Linked DNA regions of Macaca fascicularis. The protein of the gene in region 1 purifies or fractionates together with the protein of each later gene. This does not show direct contact. Links are inferred from orthologs where the notes say so. Each region holds a gene or a part of one and is shown in the gene's direction. Other genes may lie near its edges. The genes, in order: BACH2 and MAFK.

Region 1 (9,481 bases):
CTTACGACATATTCGGTAACATACAAGCTTTTAACAAGTATTTACCATGTTAGAGACCCCAGGTTAGATTAGACGCAAGGTTACAAAGACAGACAAAACCATTCCTGATCTGAAGGAGCTTGCTCTCTTATGGTAGAAACAGACACAATTAGGTATAATAAAAGGGAGATGGCAGTGATTGCCCACATAGAATTTATAATGTGGGTCTAGCAGTCATGGCTTTTTGTTTTGTTTTTTTAACCGAATATCTCTGGACTTGTCATCTGACAGGAAAAAAAAAAATTTAAGATGGAATCTTACTTAAGTACTTTAAAAAGATTAACAATTAAAATCCCGTTCAGTTACATGTCTAAGAAATTTCCCTTACTGGAAAGAATGCAGTGATATGAAGTCATTGCTGCCCTGGAGAATCCAGCACATTTCCTCACCTGGCTATGAGAGCTGAGAGAACAATGTCATTCATTCTCTCTAAGAGGACTGGAGAGCACTCCCAAAGGAGTGAATGTCCAGGTTGAATCTTGAACATCAATTACAGGTACTTGCAAGAATTTGGGCTCTGTATGCTACAGTGAGTTTAATACATGCAGAAGTCAGCTACAAAGCTTACCAGTTCACCTTGCAGTGCACTCACTCCCCCAGCTAAAATTTTGTATCACTGCTACCATAGCTTCTAGCAAGGACCCCATGATTGCTGCTTTCATTTGATTTGTACAGGATTTGTAGACATGCCTCACCTTCCTGTGGGGTCAGCGGTGCTTGCAAGAACCTAGAGGATGTGTGGTTTTATGTGCAGGGTAAGGAAGCCTACCCTGATGAACAGCAGCAAGTTTAATCCATTTCCATCTGAAAAAACAATTGGCCTCAGGCAACATATTCTTAATTGTCTAAGTCATTGTGTGTGAGCAGGCATGCGTGCGCGCGCACATGTGTTTGTGTGCATATGCAAGCTGTGCATAAATAGCACACTTTCAATCTATGTAAAATATAATGGATAAGCAGCAAATGACAGTAGGCTTAGCCCCTGAAGATTTACCAGGAAAAAAAGACAGCTGCATGGCAAAGCTGCTGCCAATAATTAGGGAAGGAATAGCCCATACCCTGTGCCACTCAGCAGGTTCAACCATTTAAATGACAGCCGGTTTGTTTAGCTCTGCAACCCCTGTTCATTATGGGCCAGGGGTTGATTTCGTCTTGAGCACACCGCTTTTGATTGTTGTCATCTCTGGTGAGATAATGAGATCATCATCATTATAAGATCAGGTAGGACATCATGACCGAAAGTCTCAAGTAGAAACTGTGATGGATGAGCAAAACAGAGTTGTTTTAATGTCTCTTTTAACATTGTAAGTGAGGAAAACCTATTTTTGCAACTCCCTGGACTTAGTTTTTTGCAGGGCCACCTTGTCATTTTTGTGGTTGACAAGAAAACGTTAAGGCTCTCTTGGGCTCCAGCAAGCTAAGCTGCAAGAACTGTCACAACACTCCCCCCTCGTGTAGAATGGCTCTCAACAGGACCGATTGGGAGGGAAATTAATAGGCTCCCCATTGTCACCATGCATTTTTGCCAGGATATTTCATTAGTGTAAACACTGAACCCGTTGTCATCTTGTTTAGCCACTTGACCCTGGTGATTTTCAATTCTGCCTGTGCCGTGATGGAGTACAGCAGTGGCATGCACGAGACAGGCACTAATTATTGGAAGCAGAATCATCGCTGACCCAGTACTACAAGATTAACTGCCCCTTTGCAGTCTTTATTCTGGGACATTAGCACTGTCTGGTTATCTTGCTTCAGTTGAGGGATTCGGGACAATAGCGGTGCTGATGGTAATGTTGGCGATTTTCCTGTTTGTTTTGCAGGTCACGGCCAGGGGCTTTGGGCCGCTGTTACAGTTTGCCTACACTGCCAAGCTGTTACTCAGCAGAGAAAACATCCGCGAGGTCATCCGCTGTGCTGAGTTCCTGCGCATGCACAACCTGGAGGACTCCTGCTTCAGTTTCCTGCAGACCCAGCTCCTGAACAGTGAGGATGGCCTGTTTGTGTGCCGGAAGGATGCTGCATGCCAGCGCCCGCACGAGGACTGTGAGAACTCTGCAGGAGAGGAGGAGGATGAAGAGGAGGAGACGATGGATTCAGAGACGGCCAAGATGGCTTGCCCCAGGGACCAGATGCTTCCAGAGCCCATCAGCTTTGAGGCCGCCGCCATCCCTGTAGCAGAGAAGGAAGAAGCCCTGCTGCCCGAGCCCGACGTGCCCACGGACACCAAGGAGAGCTCAGAAAAGGACGCGTTAACGCAGTACCCCAGATACAAGAAATACCAGCTTGCATGTACCAAGAATGTCTATAATGCATCATCACACAGTACCTCAGGTTTTGCAAGCACATTCCGGGAAGAAAACTCTAGCAACAGCCTCAAGCCAGGGCTTGCCAGGGGGCAGATTAAAAGTGAGCCGCCCAGTGAAGAGAATGAGGAAGAGAGCATCACACTCTGCCTGTCTGGAGATGAGCCTGACGCCAAGGACAGAGCGGGGGATGTCGAGATGGACCGGAAACAGCCCAGCCCTGCCCCTACCCCCACGGCCCCAGCTGGGGCCACCTGCCTGGAGAGATCCAGGAGCGTGGCCTCGCCCTCCTGCTTAAGGTCTCTGTTCAGCATAACGAAAAGTGTGGAGCTGTCTGGCCTGCCCAGTACATCTCAGCAGCACTTTGCCAGGAGTCCAGCGTGCCCTTTTGACAAGGGGATCACTCAGGGTGACCTTAAAACTGACTACACCCCTTTCACAGGGAATTATGGACAGCCCCATGTGGGCCAGAAGGAGGTGTCCAACTTCACCATGGGGTCGCCCCTCAGGGGGCCTGGGTTGGAGGCTCTCTGTAAACAGGAGGGAGAGCTGGACCGGAGGAGCGTGATCTTCTCCTCCAGCGCTTGTGACCAAGTGAGCACCTCGGTGCATTCTTATTCTGGGGTGAGCAGTTTGGACAAAGACCTCTCTGAGCCGGTGCCAAAGGGTCTGTGGGTGGGAGCTGGCCAGTCCCTCCCCAGCTCACAGGCCTACTCCCACGGTGGGCTGATGGCCGACCACTTGCCAGGAAGGATGCGGCCCAACACCAGCTGCCCGGTGCCAATCAAAGTCTGCCCTCGCTCACCCCCCTTGGAGACCAGGACCAGGACTTCCAGCTCCTGCTCCTCCTATTCCTATGCGGAGGACGGGAGCGGGGGCTCGCCCTGCAGCCTCCCTCTCTGTGAGTTCTCCTCCTCGCCCTGTTCGCAGGGAGCCAGATTCCTTGCCACAGAACATCAGGAACCAGGCCTGATGGGAGACGGAATGTACAACCAAGTGCGGCCCCAGATTAAATGTGAGCAGTCTTACGGAACCAACTCCAGTGACGAATCCGGATCGTTCTCGGAAGCAGACAGTGAGTCGTGTCCTGTGCAGGACAGGGGCCAGGAGGTAGGGAACCCACATAAATTCAAGCATGTAACCCACTCTCTAGGCCCTTTATCTGGACTATTCCCTGCCCCCCCACCACTCCCAGATTGTTCTTACATGCTGAGATTAAAGATGGCAGTAGAGAGACTGCCTTCCCCATCCACAGAGGCAGGGTGCTGAAGGTGATTCCACATTAACCACTTCCGTCCTAGAAAAGCACTTAATATTTGATCTGGATCTCAATACTCAACAAGCAGAGGCAAGCTGCTGAGTAAAAAAATACTGAAGTCTAATGCATGAAGTGCACTGAGGCACTGCACACCCCCCTCTTTCTCCTCCTTCTCTTCCCCCTCCTACATCTGCTTTGGAAGGATGCCATGTTCATCACCCTCATCCTTGCCCTTCACCCCTTCAGCACAAAGGAAGATATAGCATCTCTTTCCAGATTGATTGATTGAAACCAAATAGATCAACACTTTCCCAGCACCTTTTAGATTTTCCTTGTCAACAGAAGACCCCAGGGCCATCCCATGTCCATCACAGTGAAGGTGATGGAAGGCTCACTGTTTATCCCAGTCCTGGGGTCATCACAGAAGCACCCTAGTCGGCCACACATAATGTATAATGGATCATTTCCCAAGCTCCCTCAAACGCTAGGAAGACATTTTGAGAAGTAGTGGGGTACAGTAGCAGTTTCATCCACCCTGAAAGCAATGTACTTGCTAGGAAGAATGTCCAGAGGCCCCATGTGTGTCTTACCATTGCTGGGAGAGGGGAACAGGGGCAACAGCAGCCACATCATGAGCAAGACTCACAAGACTAAGGAGAGGAAAGAAGAGGCCTCCCCCAGAGGACCCACCTCCCAATAACATGAACATTCCCTAGGAAGACCTGAGAGAGTCTGTGTCGTGACTGGCGTTCATGGCACTGTCTTGCTGATTGACAAGGTACCAGCTTGAGACTGCTACCTGTGTCTCAGACGCCCCTCAGGAACGGTAATGAACAAACCCAGTGACAAGTCCCTTCTCAGAGCTGTGTATCCCAAAAACACAGGAAGAAATGAAAAGTGGTCCTCCTGAGGCCAGTAACCTTGGTACCCGTCTGCTCTCTGGATGTTACCAGCCTCTGTAAGGCAGAGATGTTAACCCAACCAGACAGCAGAAATGCCACATGGGATGAGGTGGCTTTTCACAGAGCCACGTGCAGTTTATTCAGCCTCTGCAAGATTGGCGAGAAGCACATGAGGTTTTTAGTTTGGGCATGTTTTGAAAGTAGATGCCAAAGGCCCTATGCCAACTGCCAAAAATGCCCTGTGGTCACTTCCTTCTTTGCTCGCTAGCCTGGTTTCTTCCCCTCTCTTCACTGCCTAGCAGACATGGAGAAAGAGAAACACTGAAAGGATTTAGTTTAAAATAAATTAGAAAGGAAATTTGAATGGGAGCTATTCCCATGCGAATATACCGTCTCTCCTTAGGTTTGGGGTGGCGGGTTGTGCCTCGTGCCCCAAGCCAGGCTCACATCTGTGTCCCTAACATTGGGAAGATTGAGCTTTCCTGAAAATAGTGAAGGCTTATGTTTTCTCTCTCCTTACTCATTCTTTCCCTCTGACCTCTTTAGTGAGGTTTTCCTTTTGTTCTGAAACCGTGAATGAGCATGCCTGGTGTGGAAGGCTAGCCACTGCGTCCAGCTCATCTGCATCATGGCTTCCTACCAAGGACTGCTGGAGGGAGAAGAGGACAAAGGCCTGCAGTCTGTTTTTTGTCTCTCCTTTAAGAGGAGCCTGGGGCCAGGCGTGGTGGCTCAGGCCTGTGATCCTAGCATTTTGGGAGGCTGAGGTGGGTGGATCACTTGAGTTCAGGAGTTCAAGACCAGCCTAGGCAACATGGTGAAACCACATCTCTACCAAAAGTATAAAAAAAAAAAGCCGGGTGTCGTGGCTCATGCCAGTAGTCCCAGCTACTTGTGGGGCTGAGGTGGGAGGATCTCTTGAGCCCAGGAGAAGGTTGCAGTGAGCTGAGATTGCCACTGCACTCCAGCCTGGGTGACAGAGTGAGACCTTGTCTCCAAAAAAAAAAAAAAAAAACTGGCCATTAAGCTCAAGGGAAGCTTGTGTTTTTATGACATTTGCATTTGTTCGAAGAACTGTCAGTTTCAGAGACATCTTCTTTTGCGCTCCCCACCCCCTCGCCCCGCCACCAATATCCCAAAAGAGAGCATAGAGTCATTTCTTGGAACTCGAGACCACAGCAAGAACACATGTATTTTTTCTGTGTTGGAGCCGTGTCAGTTGTTTACCTTAGAATTAAAAATAGTAACTCAATTAAAAGGAGGACTCATTCAACCTGTAAAACAGTCACGAACAGGACTAGCCTTCCCCCCTTGAGAAATACCCCTACTTTTAAAAATATTCCTATTTTTACCTTTAAAAAAAGAATCCATCTTCTGCATTCCTGAACAGTGAAAGAAGAGACATTTACCAAAGCTGTATGCCATTTTGGAAATCATAGTCCCTCTCAGTGGTACAGTTCGGACAGGACAGTTATAGTAAAGCCAAGGTTTTCTCCAATTTTACGTCTTAATTTTCCTAGAGTAGAGGAGGTTAGCTTTCCAAGAACTGTCTCAGGGACTTGCCATGACTGCTGCTCAAGGAGTTGATAACCTGCTTTAGGGAGTTACTTTGACCCTGGTTGAAGTATTATCCCCAGTAATAGTGCTCAAGGCAGATCCTTCTCCACAAGTCAAAACTTGTTTTCCTGAACTGATCAGAAGAAGCCAGCATCTGCTGGGCTGATTCTGCCCTGCTCTCCTATGAGATCCAGGTGCCTTCTCTTTCAAGTGAACCCCAAGGAGACACCAGAGTCAGAAGTGAAGACAGGAGTTTCTACCCCTTGCCAGACACCAGTCTAATACTTCACGTGCATTTTCCCAATCTCTCTTCTTCCACCCCTGTAGGGAGCCAAAATGTTAGATCAAAAGAAAAGTGTTCACATACCTTATATTATGTGAGATGTTGTAGTTATACCATGTTAAGCAGCCCTTCCATCTCACAATCATTTCCTTCTTAACTGTTCCCTAGCTTCGAGAAAGATCAAATTAGCACAGTATTATCCTTTATCAATAATCAGCTTCTTAAAATGACACTCTTTTTTAAATTCTAGAACACAGCGTACCCAGCCCCAAACACATCAAATTTCACAGGCTCTCTCTTTGCCTGCAATAATATACAAATATATATTCACCTCTCTATGGGTTTGGGTTTTATTTTAATGGCATTATATTGTAGAGTTAGCAGCTTCCTTTTTTCACATAGCTGTCTACCATCCACATGGCTGTAGGTCAATCACATAGGGCCAAGACATGTTTCTCTAGTATCTCTGGTTCTTGTAAATCGTAGTTCATTCATCTGTCACTTATCAGTGGACATTTCAGGTGTTTTCAGTTTTTCCCTCTGATAAACATGGCTGCAATAAACATTTTGTGAGCATACTGTTAGTAGTGGTGCTTTTATTTTTGTGGGTTAGTTTCATAGATGAGCTAAATGTTGTGCTCATTTTTTAAACACTACCTAATGACCTACCCAAAACGTCGTAGCAATTCACATTTCATCCAACAACTTAGAATGTCCAGTTTCCCCTATTCTTGCCCATACTAGTTGTCACCAGTCTTTTTAATTTTTGCCAATTTGATAGGCAAAAAATGGTGACTACTAATGAAGCTGACATGTTGTTTTGTGTGTATTGAACATTGATATTTCATTTCCTGTGAATTATTGGTTCACCTCTTTGCCCATATTTTCTTTTGCATTGTTTAAATCAACATGTAGGAATCTTACTCCCCAATATTAGGAATATTAACCCTTTCTCATAAATGTCGCTTGGATATTCCCTTAGTCTGCTTCTTTATTTATTGTACCTTTTCCCATATAAAAGTTTTTTTAGTTTCATGTAGTCAAGGTATAAGTCTTTTTTTATGACTTCTGGATTTGCTATATTCCTTAAGAAGTCAGGTTGGGAATTTTTCTCTTCCAATAAAAAAAAAAAATGAACAAGTCACATTAAGTGAAAATCACAAAACAGTATGCACAAGGTCCTAGTTTGTTTTCTGAATATGCACACCCTATAAATGAAATCAGTATAGAGAATAAGAAAAAACCGGGAGCACCATTGAAGAGGAGTGTAGGGAAAGTTTCATTTCTATGTATGTATGTAATGTTTGAATTTTATGTAGGTTTATCTTTTAAATTAAGACATAATTCGCATACCATAAAATTCACCCTAAGATGAACAATTCAGTGGTTGTTGATATATTCACAGTGTTGTACAACCATCACCACTGTGATAATTCCAAAACATTCTCACCACCCTAAAAGGAAATGCCGTACCCATTAGTGGTTATTCCTCATTGCCCACTCCCCTCAACCCCAGGCAACCAGTAATCTACCTTCTGTCTCTGTGGATGTACCTGTTTGGGGCATTTGTATAAATAGAATCTTGCAAGATGTAGCCTTCTGTGTCTAGCTTCTTTCACTTTAGCATAATACTTTGAAGGTTTACCTTTGCCATTGATGTACTCACCAGAGATATTGTCATGTATTAGTCCTTTGTTCCTGTTAATTGCTGAGTAATATTCCATTATGTTGATCCATTTTGTTGACCAATACCACATTTTGTTGTTCATTGGTTGAGGGCCATTTGGGTTGTTTCCACTTTGGGGCTATTATAAATAATGCTGCTGTGAGCATTTGAGACAAGTTTTTTAAGACTTGTTTTCAGTTATTTTCATAATATTCCTAGGAGTGGAACTGCTGAATCATATAACTTTGTATTTAACCTTCTGAGGAGCTACTAGACTGTTTCCAAGGTGGCTATACCATTTCAAATTCCCACCAACAATGTATCAGGGATCCAGTTTCTCTGCATCCTTGCCAACACTTGTTATTGCCCATCTTTTTTGTTAAAGCCCTCTAGTGGGTGTGAAGTAGTTATAGTTTATCTCATTATAGTTTATAGGTTTGTTTTTAAATGTTGGAAATTATAGAAAATCACAGTCATTTTCCAAAGTAGTAAGCTTCTTAGTAAGACAGCTTTGTAGCTGGACCATTTCTACTTAATTGTAGATTTTAGTAAAGAAGCACCACAGAGGGTTTATTTGCACAGTCAAAAGTATGGATTCATTGGACTTGCTTTATTAACATGTTTTACATTGAGAGGGATAAAAGTGTATGAGAGGTAAGAGAGTGTGTTGGGGGCAGGCAGGGGGCGGGAAACAGAGAGAAGGGAAGAGAGATAAAGTCCAGAGAAAACATGGAAATGGTACAAAAGAGCCATCTGACTCTTAACTCTTCCCACCCAAATGCTGACTTTGAGACACATGTTGTATGTAAAATTTGTACAATCATTTTTGTGGTTTGGTGAATCGGGCATGTTTTTAGAAGTGTCTGTAATTGGTCTGCTTAATAAAAAGAAACCTTGCTGGGCAGCATAGAAATCAGCCATATTTCTAATTAAAACAGTGTTTTTATGTTGTCTAGAACATTGTGAGAGTCTGGAATTCCAAAGCACATGTCTGTAAGATGAAACCATGTGACAAAGATAAATAGAGCTGATAAACAGAAATAATAATACCTTGTATCTATTAGGCAGTTGAAACTTTCCCAAGCACTTCCACCTGTCATCCAGTTGTATTCTTCACAGCAACCCTATAAGCTAAGCAGGGCAGGCGTTATCTCCCTTTGACTCCTAGATCCTCCAAGAACTTTAGGACAGAACGAAGACTTGCCTGAGATCACACAGCTAATTAATTGAAGTATCACAACTGAATCCTAGGTGTCCTGTATTTGTGTTAGAAACTGGACCATGAGAAGAGAGCATGGAAGGACAATTGTGCGGGACACATTTTTTCACCTGGGAGGGGAGATTTTGTCATTGCCATCTGCCCAGCACTGAGCTGGTTGTCCTGGTTCCAGCAGCACTGGAATCATCTGTCCAGTGGGCATATTGCTTCCTCCCTCGACATCTCCCTGGGATCTGAGGGTCTCCTCAGAGTACGGG
Region 2 (10,076 bases), on another chromosome or scaffold:
AAGCTCCACCTCCCGGGTTCACGCCATTCTCCTGCCTCAGCCTCCTGAGTAGCTGGGAGTACAGGCGCCTGCCACCTCGCCTGGCTAGTTTTTTTTTTTTTTTTTTGTATTTTTTAGTAGAGACAGGGTTTCACCGTGTTAGCCAGGATGGTCTTGATCTCCTGACCTCATGATCCACCCGTCTCGGCCTCCCAAAGTGCTGGGATTACAGGCTTGAGCCACCGCGCCTGGCAAGGAGGATTGCTTGAGGCCAGGAGTTTAAGACCAGCCTGATCAACACAGCAAGACCCTATCTCTGAAAGAAGATTTTTTTTAAGTTAGAAAAAAATAGTTAAAATGGTAAATTCTACATGATGTATACTTTACCACAATAAAAAGTAAACTTTGGGCTGGGCACAGTGGCTCATGCGTGTAATCCCAACACTTTGAGAGGATGAGGTGGGAGGATCACTTGAGCCTAGGAGTTCAAGACCAGCCTAGGCAACAGAGCAATACCCTGTCTCTACAAAAAAAACAAGGAAAATTAGCTGGGTGTGGTAGCACCAGCCTTAGTCCCAGCTACTCAGGAGGCTGAGGTAGGAGGATCACTTGAGCCTGGGAGGTGGAGGCTGCAGTGAACTGTGATTGCACCAGTGAACTCCAGTCTGGGTGACAGAGTGAGATGCTATCTTATAAAACAAACAAATAAATAAATAAATCAAAATTTTAAAAATTAGGCTGGGCGTGGTGGCTCACGCCTGTAATCCCAGCACTTTGGGAGGCCGAGGTGGGCGGATCACCTGAGGTCGGGGGTTCGAGACCAGCCTGGCCAAAATGGTGAAACCGTTTCTACTAAAAATACAAAAATTAGCCAGTGTGGTGGCTCATGCCTGTAATCCCAGCACTTTGGGAGGCTGAGGCAGGTGGATCATTTGAGGCCAGCAGTTCGAGACCAGCCCAGTCAACATGGCAAAACCCCGTCTCTATTAAAAATATAAACATTGGCTGTGTGTGGTGGCTCGTGCCTGTAATCCCAGCACTTTGGGAGGCCGAGAAAGCCGGATCATGAGGTCAGGAGATCGAGACCATCCTCGCTAACACAGTGAAACATCATCTCTACTAAAAATACAATTAAAAAAAAAAATAGCCGGGCATGACGGCAGGCACCTGTAGTCCCAGCTACTCAGGAGGCTGAGGCAGGAGAATTGTTTGAACCTGGGAGGCGGAGCTTGCAGTGAGCCAAGATTGCGCCACTGCACTCCAGCCTGGCAACAGAGTGAGATTCCATCTCAAAACAACAACGACAACAACAACAAAAAACTAACCATATGTGGTGGTGGGCACCTGTGATCCCAGCTACTCGGGGGGCTGAGGCAGGAGAACCACTGAACCCGGGAGGGAGAGGCTGGAGTGAGCCGAGATGGTGCCACCGCACTCCAGGCTGGATGACAGAGTGAGACTCCTTCTCAAAAGTAAATACGGCCGGGCGCAGTGGCTCACGCCTGTAATCCCAGCACTTTGGGAGGCCGAGGCGGGCAGATCACGAGGTCAGGAGATCGAGACCATCCTGGCTAACACGGCAAAACCCCGTCTCTATTTTAAAAAATACAAAAAAATTAGCCGGGCGTGGCAGTGGGCACCTGTAGTCCCAGCTACTGGGGAGGCTGAGGCAGAAGAATGGCGTGAACCCAGGAGGTGGAGCTTGCAGTGAGCTGAGATGGCACCACTGCACTCCAGCCTGGGCGACAGAGTGAGACTCTGTGTCAAAATAAAAAAATAAATAAATACAAATTAAAAAATTAAAAAGATAATATAACTGTGCAATTAGTAACAAAAGCCTACTATGGAAAGAATGCAGTTGGGTTAGAGCAGCGACACCATGAGTAACGTAAAGAGGAGACGCTCACAGCTTCTCTGGAGGCTCCCAGCGCATCCCAGAACCCCAAGTGCAAAGTGTGGGCTGGGACAAGGGAAGCAGCTTTCCCATCCCCCGGGGATGTCTTTCTGCAAACATCCTGGGGACGTGGGACATTGTCGCTACTGCTGCTATTTCTTGGCTCCTGTTTCTGCAGCCAGGTTGCAGGCATCACTGTGTCTGGCTACCCCAGACGGCAGCGTGGGCCTCAGCAAGGAGGCGCCTCCCAGGTGGTCAGAAGTGGGGGTCAGAGATGGTCCGGGAGGCTGCCCCCTCGCTCCACAGCAAGAGGCCACTGGGCGGCTGCCTAAATCCCCAGGCACGCGGTGGTAAGGATGACACCCAGAAGATGCACAGACCTCCCTGTCCTTGCTCCTGAGTCCCACCTGAGCCGAGAAACAGGCTCCCGAGTCCCACCTGAGCCGAGAAAACAGGCTTCCCAGAACCCTGGGCAGATGCCGTGGGTGCCCTGGTTGGCCAGGCCTGAGACTCCTTTTCCTGCAGCGCTCAGAGGAGGGCGGGACTTGGGGACCCAGAAGCTTGGTAAGGGGCTCACCCTCCCCTCTGAGGGACTCTGGACGGGTCCCCACTCCAGCCTGTCCTCCACCTGCGACAAGAAGCAGAGGCAGCTCCCTCAGGGACCGGCTCCCACCTGAGGATCCCTCACAGGACTCCTTGGGCCGGTGGTGCCCTAACCCCATCCTGGGCCTGCTGTGGCCCCCTGGCAACCAGCAGCTGGGGCTTTAGAAGGGGGCTGGCCCCACTCACAGAAGCTGTGACCAGTAGCCGCTTATCCCCATTTTTACATTGCTGGTTTGCTTGTTTTGTTTTGTTTTTTGAGACAGGGTTTCACCTTGTCACCCAGGCTAGAGTGCAGTGATGAAATCATGGCTCACTGCAGCCTCCACCTTCCAGGTTCAAGCCATCCTCCTGCCTCAGCCTCCTGAGTAACTGGGACTACAGGCACATACCACCACGACCGACTACTTTTTGTAATTTTTTGTAGAGATGGGGGTCTCACTATGTTGTCCACGCTGGTCTGGAACTCCTGGGCTCAAGCGATCCTCCTGCTTTGACCTCCCAGCGTGCTGGGATTACAGGCATGAGCCACTGTGCCCAGCTGGCCTTAATGTTTTTTATGTTTGTAGAGACGGGGAATGGGGGAAGGGAGGTTTCGCTATATTGCCCAGACTGGTCTTGAACTGCTGGCCCACAGAGATCCTCCCGCCGGGCCTCCCAAAGCGCGGGGATTGCAGGTGCGGGCGGGGCCCGCGGACCCCCGGGCGGGAGAGGAAGGCGTGCCCGCGGGGGAGGGAGGGGGCGTGGCCCCAGGGGGGGCGGGGCGGCGTGACGCGCGCGCCGCGGATCCCGGAAGCGGTGTCAGATGCTGGGGAGCCGGGCGGGCGGGCGCGGTGGCGGCGGGCGGCGGGCGGCGGGGGGGAGTTGTTGTTCTTCGTGAAGTCGGAGCCCGAGCGCCAGGCGGCGGCGGCCGAGGGGAGCGCGAGAGTGAGCGCCGGCGCGAGGACAGCGCGTGCCCGCGAGGAGCCGCCGCGCGCCCGCGCCCTCCGCGCGACGCCAGGTGAGGGGCGGTGGAGCAGCGGGGACCGGGCCGCGGCGGGGACGGAGACCGGGACGCGGGGCTGGGGCCACCTGGCCGCTGAGTCACGGCCGCCCGGGGGCGCGGGCCGAGGGTGGCGGGGTTGGGTGCGCAGGGCCCGAGACCCCCATGCGGCCCCCTACGCGGCCCGCGCACCTGCCCCGTTGGGCCCAGCCCCGCAGGCCCAGGGGGCTTCCCCGGGACGCGAAGCTCTCTGCCCTGCACGTGCCGCCCGGGCCATGCTTGCTAAGCCCGGGGCCCTGGGGCGTGGACCCCAGACCTGGGAACACGGGAGTCCACGCGGGTCGGCGGCGCTCATTGTGCCCGCGCCTTCACACCTGCGGGGGGCGGGGCGGGGAGGGCGCGGGCGCGTGGATTCCCCGTGCCTTCCGCCCCAGCGTGGCTTCCGCGTGCGGCCCCGGCCTGCCCCCCTCGCTTCCTCCCGGTGACGGGCGGCGCTGCGGCCCACGCGTGCCCGTGGACGGGGTGGGGGTAACCGAGTCTCCCCACAGGCAGGATCCTGGGACTGGTGTTGCTTTCAGCCGCCCACCTGCCAGGGTTGCTGGAAGGAAGGCCGTGGGGAGGCCGGAGGGGAGCAGGTGACAGGGGCCCCAAGGCGTGTGTCCCTTTGCTCACATGTGGGGCAGGGGCTCAGGCCTCTTCCCGCTCCCACTGCGTGGGTTCTTCTGTGCCTCTTGTCAAGTTCAGGAAACTGTGTTATGTGCCCGTGACGCTGTGTGTGTGTGTGTGTGTCTCTGTTTGCACAGCCTCAAGATCCTGGGGGGGTGGGTCGAGGCGCCGCGGAAAAACCCAGAAAGCCAGGACCCCGCCTGGCCTTGGCCCTTGACCTGGGTCCCCCTGGGGTACAGCAGTGGCCCTGTGCTGCATTCTCACCCTCACACCGTGTGTGTTCATGTTTGCGGGGCCTCCTGTGTCCCTCTCCCCGTGTCCTGCATCCCTGAGCATGCTGTTTCTTGCTTCTTAGGCGGCTCTTATAGCTGAGGCAGAAATCAGATCCACCATTCATTCACCAGGTGACCCACAGGCAGCCAGCCACTCTCTGGCCAGGTGCCTGGCCTTGGGAAGATCCTGGGACTCAAAACGCCCCCCACTGCGGGACACCGTGGACTAGGGGATATCACTGTGGTTCGGCTCCGGCACTGCCCTTCCCACCCCTCTGATTCTCCAGGGTGGGCTGCCAGGTCTCTACTGGCACTGAGGTTTCACTATCACAGTGTGTTGTTGTAAGGGGGTCTCCAACATGGAGTGGGATGCCCTGTGCAGCTTCTCCAAGCCCAGTGTCTTCAGGGATGTGGAGTATTGAAAGAGCTGTGGGCGGGGTCTGGAGAACATAGGTGGGCTGTGCAGGTGTCTGGGACACACCTACACCCTATTTGGGCGTCCAGTGCCGTTTAAGAGAACATCTCCCCTTCTTAGGTAACCCAGTAGGAATGTCTGAGTTTGACCTTGGGAGAGGGAGTCTGCTTTTTAAAACTAGACCTTTCATTATTCCAAAATAAGACATTTACTAAAGCAGAAAAACAAACCAGGTTTCTCCTGCCTTTTATCCTTGAGCTGAGCCAGGGCTTTGAGGGGCTGGTTCCCTACAGCATTGATTCCCCAGGTGCTGGTAAACCCGGGAGCCAGCGTTTACCAAGGGTTGGGGCTGTCGGGGCGCCAGCCTTTGTGTGCACCCGGGAGGCCACTGTTAAGTGAGACCGTCTTCCGGGCCACTCTGCTGTCTACAAGGCGTGCGCTTTCACCCACGGGGCTCGGCGATGGCTGCGTTTGTTTACAGTCTCCAGCAAAGCTGTTTGCCACCCAGACCGAGAAGAAGTTGTGCCTGTTCCTGTCCCAGCTGTTTCTGAGTCTAAAGGTTTCTGGAGTGGACTTTCTGGGTTTCGGGTCCAGTCCACACGGGAAATGGAAATCTGGCCAGCTGGGAGAAGGCTCCGTGTGGCTGCCTTTCAACAGTAAACAGTGACTCACCGCTCCGTCCCCACCCTCCCTGCTCTCCTCGAATGGAAGATACCTTTCCCCGCTATTTATTTTTGCTTTTTATAAGTCACAGACTCCGTCATGTTTCCGCTTTCCTACAGTTTCAGGAAACTGGGAGTGTCGTCTTAAAATCATAGAGTTTTAGAGCAGGTACAAATGAACCTGAGAGGTCACACGCCCCACCCCGACCGCCCGCTGTAGATGAGGAAACCCAGGCCGTGACGTCTGCTGGCCTGTCCCAAGGGCCAGTGGGGTCTGGTGTAGAACCTGCCTGCTTGTCCGCACTGCGCGTCGGGCGTCCTGGGGAAGGTATTGGGGTGGAGACTGCCCTCTCGCTGCCCTCCCGTGCGGGGCCGGCTCATCTCGTACAGTGGGAGGCTCGTATGGGGTGTAGGGAAGACATGCTCCCTGCTTGCGAGGAGCTCACCACACCACGGGGAGGGCCCCGTCCCCAGAAGGATCTAGAACCAGGCCTTGGTAGAGGGTGCTTGCCTACGCAAGGAGAGCAGTGGGGAGCGTTTCTGGAAGAAGCAGGGCTTGAGGGGGGCAGGGGGCCACGTGCTCTCTGCAGATGGGGGTGATCAGAAACCTGAAACGGTGTTGGGGTGAGGGGGTCGGGGTTTGGGAGGAACCCCAAAACTTTTGACTGCCTGTGGGGCTGCGTGGGGGGCACCAGGATCAGGGTGAGGGCATCCCTTTGGCAAAGCTGTGGTCCACACTGGAGAAGCTGGAGGCCGGAGCCTGGGCAGGTGCTGCGGGTTCGGGCGGGAGATGCTTGAGGGCTGGGATCAAGCCCGGTTGGAGCGTGGACGAGGAGAAGAGACAGGGGTGGGGGCAACTCCGGTGAGTGATGCGGTTGGGGGCTGGGGGGCATCTGGGCCCCCCGGAATGCCCCTGGTTGGACTTGGAAGCTGGGAGCGGATTGAAGCCCCAGGGTGGCCGGGGAGAACAGGACGCTGACGGGAAGCTGGAAGCTGAGGACAGGAGGATGGTGTGGTGGGAGCCAGGGCAGGGACTGGAGGAGGTGTGGTGTGTTCTGCAGTTTGCTCTCTGCTGCTGCAGCTGCCTGAGTCACCTCTGGATGTAGCGGAATGACACAGCTTCCTCAGACTGCAAATGCAAGGTGACCAGACGTCCTCCAAGCCAGGCGGACAGTCGTGGCTTGCTGGAGGGCAGCCAGCCAGGGCCAGGCTGCCGGCTGGTGCGGGCCGGGCTGGGGGGTGCCAAGTGGGGTGCCTCCCGCATTTCCCATGTCCAGGACAGCCGGACAGTGGGGGTCCTCATCCTCAATAGGAAGGGTGTCTGGCTGGTCTCTGGGAGCAGCCGGGCTGCAGTTAGTCGGTTGACACCTGTTTGACAGGTGCCCACTGGGTACCAGTGCCACAGTGGCCCCACCTACCCTTGTGGCCCCCTGTGGAGGGTGCCTGGCTTGGGGTCTCTGGCAGAAAGGCTCCTGGGAGAGGCAGGTACACCCTGGGCGGCCTCTGGTTTTGTGGATTGCACCTGTCGTGGGAGTCACTGGTGAGGGAGAGCGGGAGGGTGCTTACTGCTGTGCTCCTGGATTTCTAAACCCGAGTCTCGAACACAACTCCCGTCCTCCGTTCCTGGTCTTCCTCCCACCCCTCCTCCCTCTCCCGCATCCCACAGCCTCGGAGACCCGTGGAGGATAGAAGTGGAAGGGCCGCTCTGTCTCGGTCAGACCGGCTGGGTGGCCGCGGGGGTGGGGCGTGGGGTCTGCCTTGTCATTCACCCCTTGGGAGAGAACAAGTGACCCATCCAGAGCCCCCATGCCGGCCTTGGAGAGCGAGCAGCGGCCCTGATGCGTCCTCTCATCCGGGAAGAATCAGAGCCCTGAAGCTGAAATCCCCGTTTCTCCATGGGCATCCACAGCCAGGACTGTTTAGAGGGGTCATCCAGCCATCAGCTGTTCAACTCACTTTTGCACTCTCTTTTTTTTTTTTAAGAGACTGGGTCTTGCTCTGTCACTCAGGCTGCTGGAGTGCAGTGGTGTGATCACAGCTCACTGCAATCTCGACTTCCTGGCTCAAGCAATCCTCCCACCTCAGCCTCCCGAGTAGTCGGGACCATAGGCGTGTGCCATCACACCTGGCTATTTAAAAATTATGGTTTTCTCAGGAGATCGAGACCATCCTGGCTAACACAGTGAAACCCCGTCTCTACTAAAAAAATACAAAAAACTAGCCGGGCGAGGTGGCGGGCGCCTGTAGTCCCAGCTACTCAGGAGGCTGAGGCTGGAGAATGGCGTAAACCCGGGAGGCGGAGCTTGCAGTGAGCTGAGATTCGACCACTGCACTCCAGCCTGGGCAACAGAGCGAGACTCTGTCTCAAAAAAAAAAAAAAAAAATTATGTTTTTTTTTTTTTTTTTTTTTTTAGAGATGGGGCCTCGCTCTGTTGTCCAGGCTGGTCTAAAGCTACTGGGCTCAAGCATTCAGCCTCCGAAGGTGTTGAGATTACAGGCAAGAGCCACCGTGCCCAGTCCCAACTTTAAGGAGAAACTGTTCCCTCCTGGACCCCAGAGCAGGTCCTTCTCAGCTTGTGCCAGCACAGCAAGAGATGCCAGGGCTGCCAGTCCCCCACTGAGCAGGGCCAGACCCATGGGTGACCAGTGAGTATTAGCTGGGACTTAAAGAGTTAAAAATGGCTGGGCATGGTGGCTCCTGCCTGTAATCCCAGCACTTTGGGAGACTGAGGCAGGAGGATCACTTGAGTCCAGGAGCTCGAGACCAGCCTGGGCAACATGGTGAGATCCCGTCTCTACAAAAAAGTTTAAAATTCTCTGGGTGTGGTGGTGCCCACCTGTAGTCCCAGCTGCTCGGGAAGCTGAGGCAGGAGGACCTCTTGAGCTCAGGAGGTCTGCAGTGAGGCAGGATGGCACCACTGCACTCCAGCCTGGGTGACAGAGTGGGACCTTGTCTCTAAAATGAAAATTAAAAGGGAAAACATGATCCTCCGGGAGCTGAGGTCGCTGCCTGGGGCTCAGCTGCTCCCGAAAACACAGTTCTGGGTGGCTGACCCTGGCCTGCCTGCCCTGCCACCGGGAGCCCCGGGCTCTGGATCGTCACCCTCTGCAAGGTGCCTCCCTGGGCGGAGCTGCCCTGCCCTGCGCTTTATGGAGCCCAGGCCATCGGTCTGGATCCTAGAAGGGGGCGCCCAGCGTCCCGGCTTCGTCACTTATCCCCAGCTGCAGCCGCAGGAGTTGCCTCCATCTGAGGCTGCTGGTGGTTCCTTTTCCTTGAGAGGAAATGATTCCCCCGCTGAGCCTTGTTTAGTTGTGCGTCACGTTGAGGTGTCTGGCCTTGGGTTGAAAACACTACCTCTTCCATCAGAAAACCGGTCACCTAAGAGCTGTTCCAAGTTATAGGTGGTGCTGGAGAACTTTGCTGCCCAGCGCTGCTCCAGGGATGTGGGGCGTGAGCGCTGCAGCCTTACCTAGGTCGGCGGTTGGGGCCTCACAGCAGAAACTCAGACCAGACCTGGCCACCCAGGCTCCCCGCTGTGGCGCGGAACACTGCACTTCTCTGGTGACTCCACCAAAACTCAGAGGAGCTCAGGGGCGCCAGGTGCTTGTGCGTGGCGATGCTGGCATTTTGTTAGCTGGTGGGTATGAGACAGAATGTGAGGGCATCGTTCCTTGGGGGCTGCTGGAGAGGAGCTTGGCTGCAGTGCTGACCAGGTGCTGATGCGGTAGCCCCTGCCTTGGGTCTGGGGTAGTGGGAAGCCGGCGTCACGGGCGTCTCTGGGACCCCAGGCACGCTCTCCCCCTGGATGACACCCTAAGGCTGCGTCTCTGGTTCTGGGGAGGTAGCCATTTCTTTTTTTTTTTTTTTTTTTTTAAATTCTTTTTTTTGAGATGGAGTCTGGCTCTGTCACCCAGGCTGGAGTGCAGTGGCCGGATCTCGGCTCATAGCAAGCTCCACCTCCCGGGTTCACGCCATTCTCCTGCCTTAGCCTCCCGAGTAACTGGGACTACAGGCGCCCGCCACCTCGCCTGGCTAGTTTTTTGTATTTTTTAGTAGAGACGGGGTTTCACCATGTTAGCCAGGATGATCTCGATCTCCTGACCTCGTGATCCGCCTGTCTCGGCCTCCCAAAGTGCTGGGATTACAGGCTTGAGGCACCGCGCCCGGCCGGAGGTAGCCATTTCTAAGTGTGCTCTGGTGGCCCTTGAGGCCGTGTGAGGTTGGACAGTTCACAAAACCCTGTTTAGGGCAGTTGTCATTTTTAGATCAGTTGCTTTACAAACTTTTTTTGCACATACAAAACTCTTCTTTGAATCTCCTTCCAAAAGCAAGCTGTCATCTTTCTTGCCTCTGATGTTTAGAGCAACTTTAGGGTAATGCTGCTTGGATTTATTTTGTGCATGGTGGGGAGAGGTAGGTGCCAGCACCATCCCATCCCGTGCTGGGTTCCTGAGAGAAGCTTTGCCACTTGGCTGGGCCGTCCCTGCTGCTTCGCCTCTCGGGGGGCACGTGGATGGTCCAGGCTTCCTTGGCGGAGCAGAGTCGTGACCTGCCCAAGGAAGTGGGGGACACGCTTGTGAGCACAGCATGGGGGCCGCCCAGGAC

Evidence for each region.
Region 2: the proteins of BACH2 (region 1) and MAFK purify together in Homo sapiens (co-immunoprecipitation; 3 studies listed by BioGRID and IntAct, with this or other methods). This does not show direct contact. The link is inferred for Macaca fascicularis from reciprocal best matches to the Homo sapiens genes BACH2 and MAFK.

Annotation. Positions count from the first base shown.
Region 1 is NC_088378.1:85,423,985-85,433,465, forward strand, and holds part of BACH2 (transcription regulator protein BACH2), read left to right. Parts: intron 1-1,859; coding exon 1,860-3,452; coding exon of another isoform or gene 3,453-3,611; exon of another isoform or gene 3,612-8,921; intron 8,922-9,481. UniProt on the Homo sapiens protein: Transcriptional regulator that acts as a repressor or activator. Binds to Maf recognition elements (MARE). Plays an important role in coordinating transcription activation and repression by MAFK.
Region 2 is NC_088377.1:34,977,521-34,987,596, forward strand, and holds the start of MAFK (transcription factor MafK), read left to right. Parts: upstream 1-3,276; 5' UTR 3,277-3,473; intron 3,474-6,560; exon of another isoform or gene 6,561-7,278; intron 7,279-10,076. UniProt on the Homo sapiens protein: Since they lack a putative transactivation domain, the small Mafs behave as transcriptional repressors when they dimerize among themselves.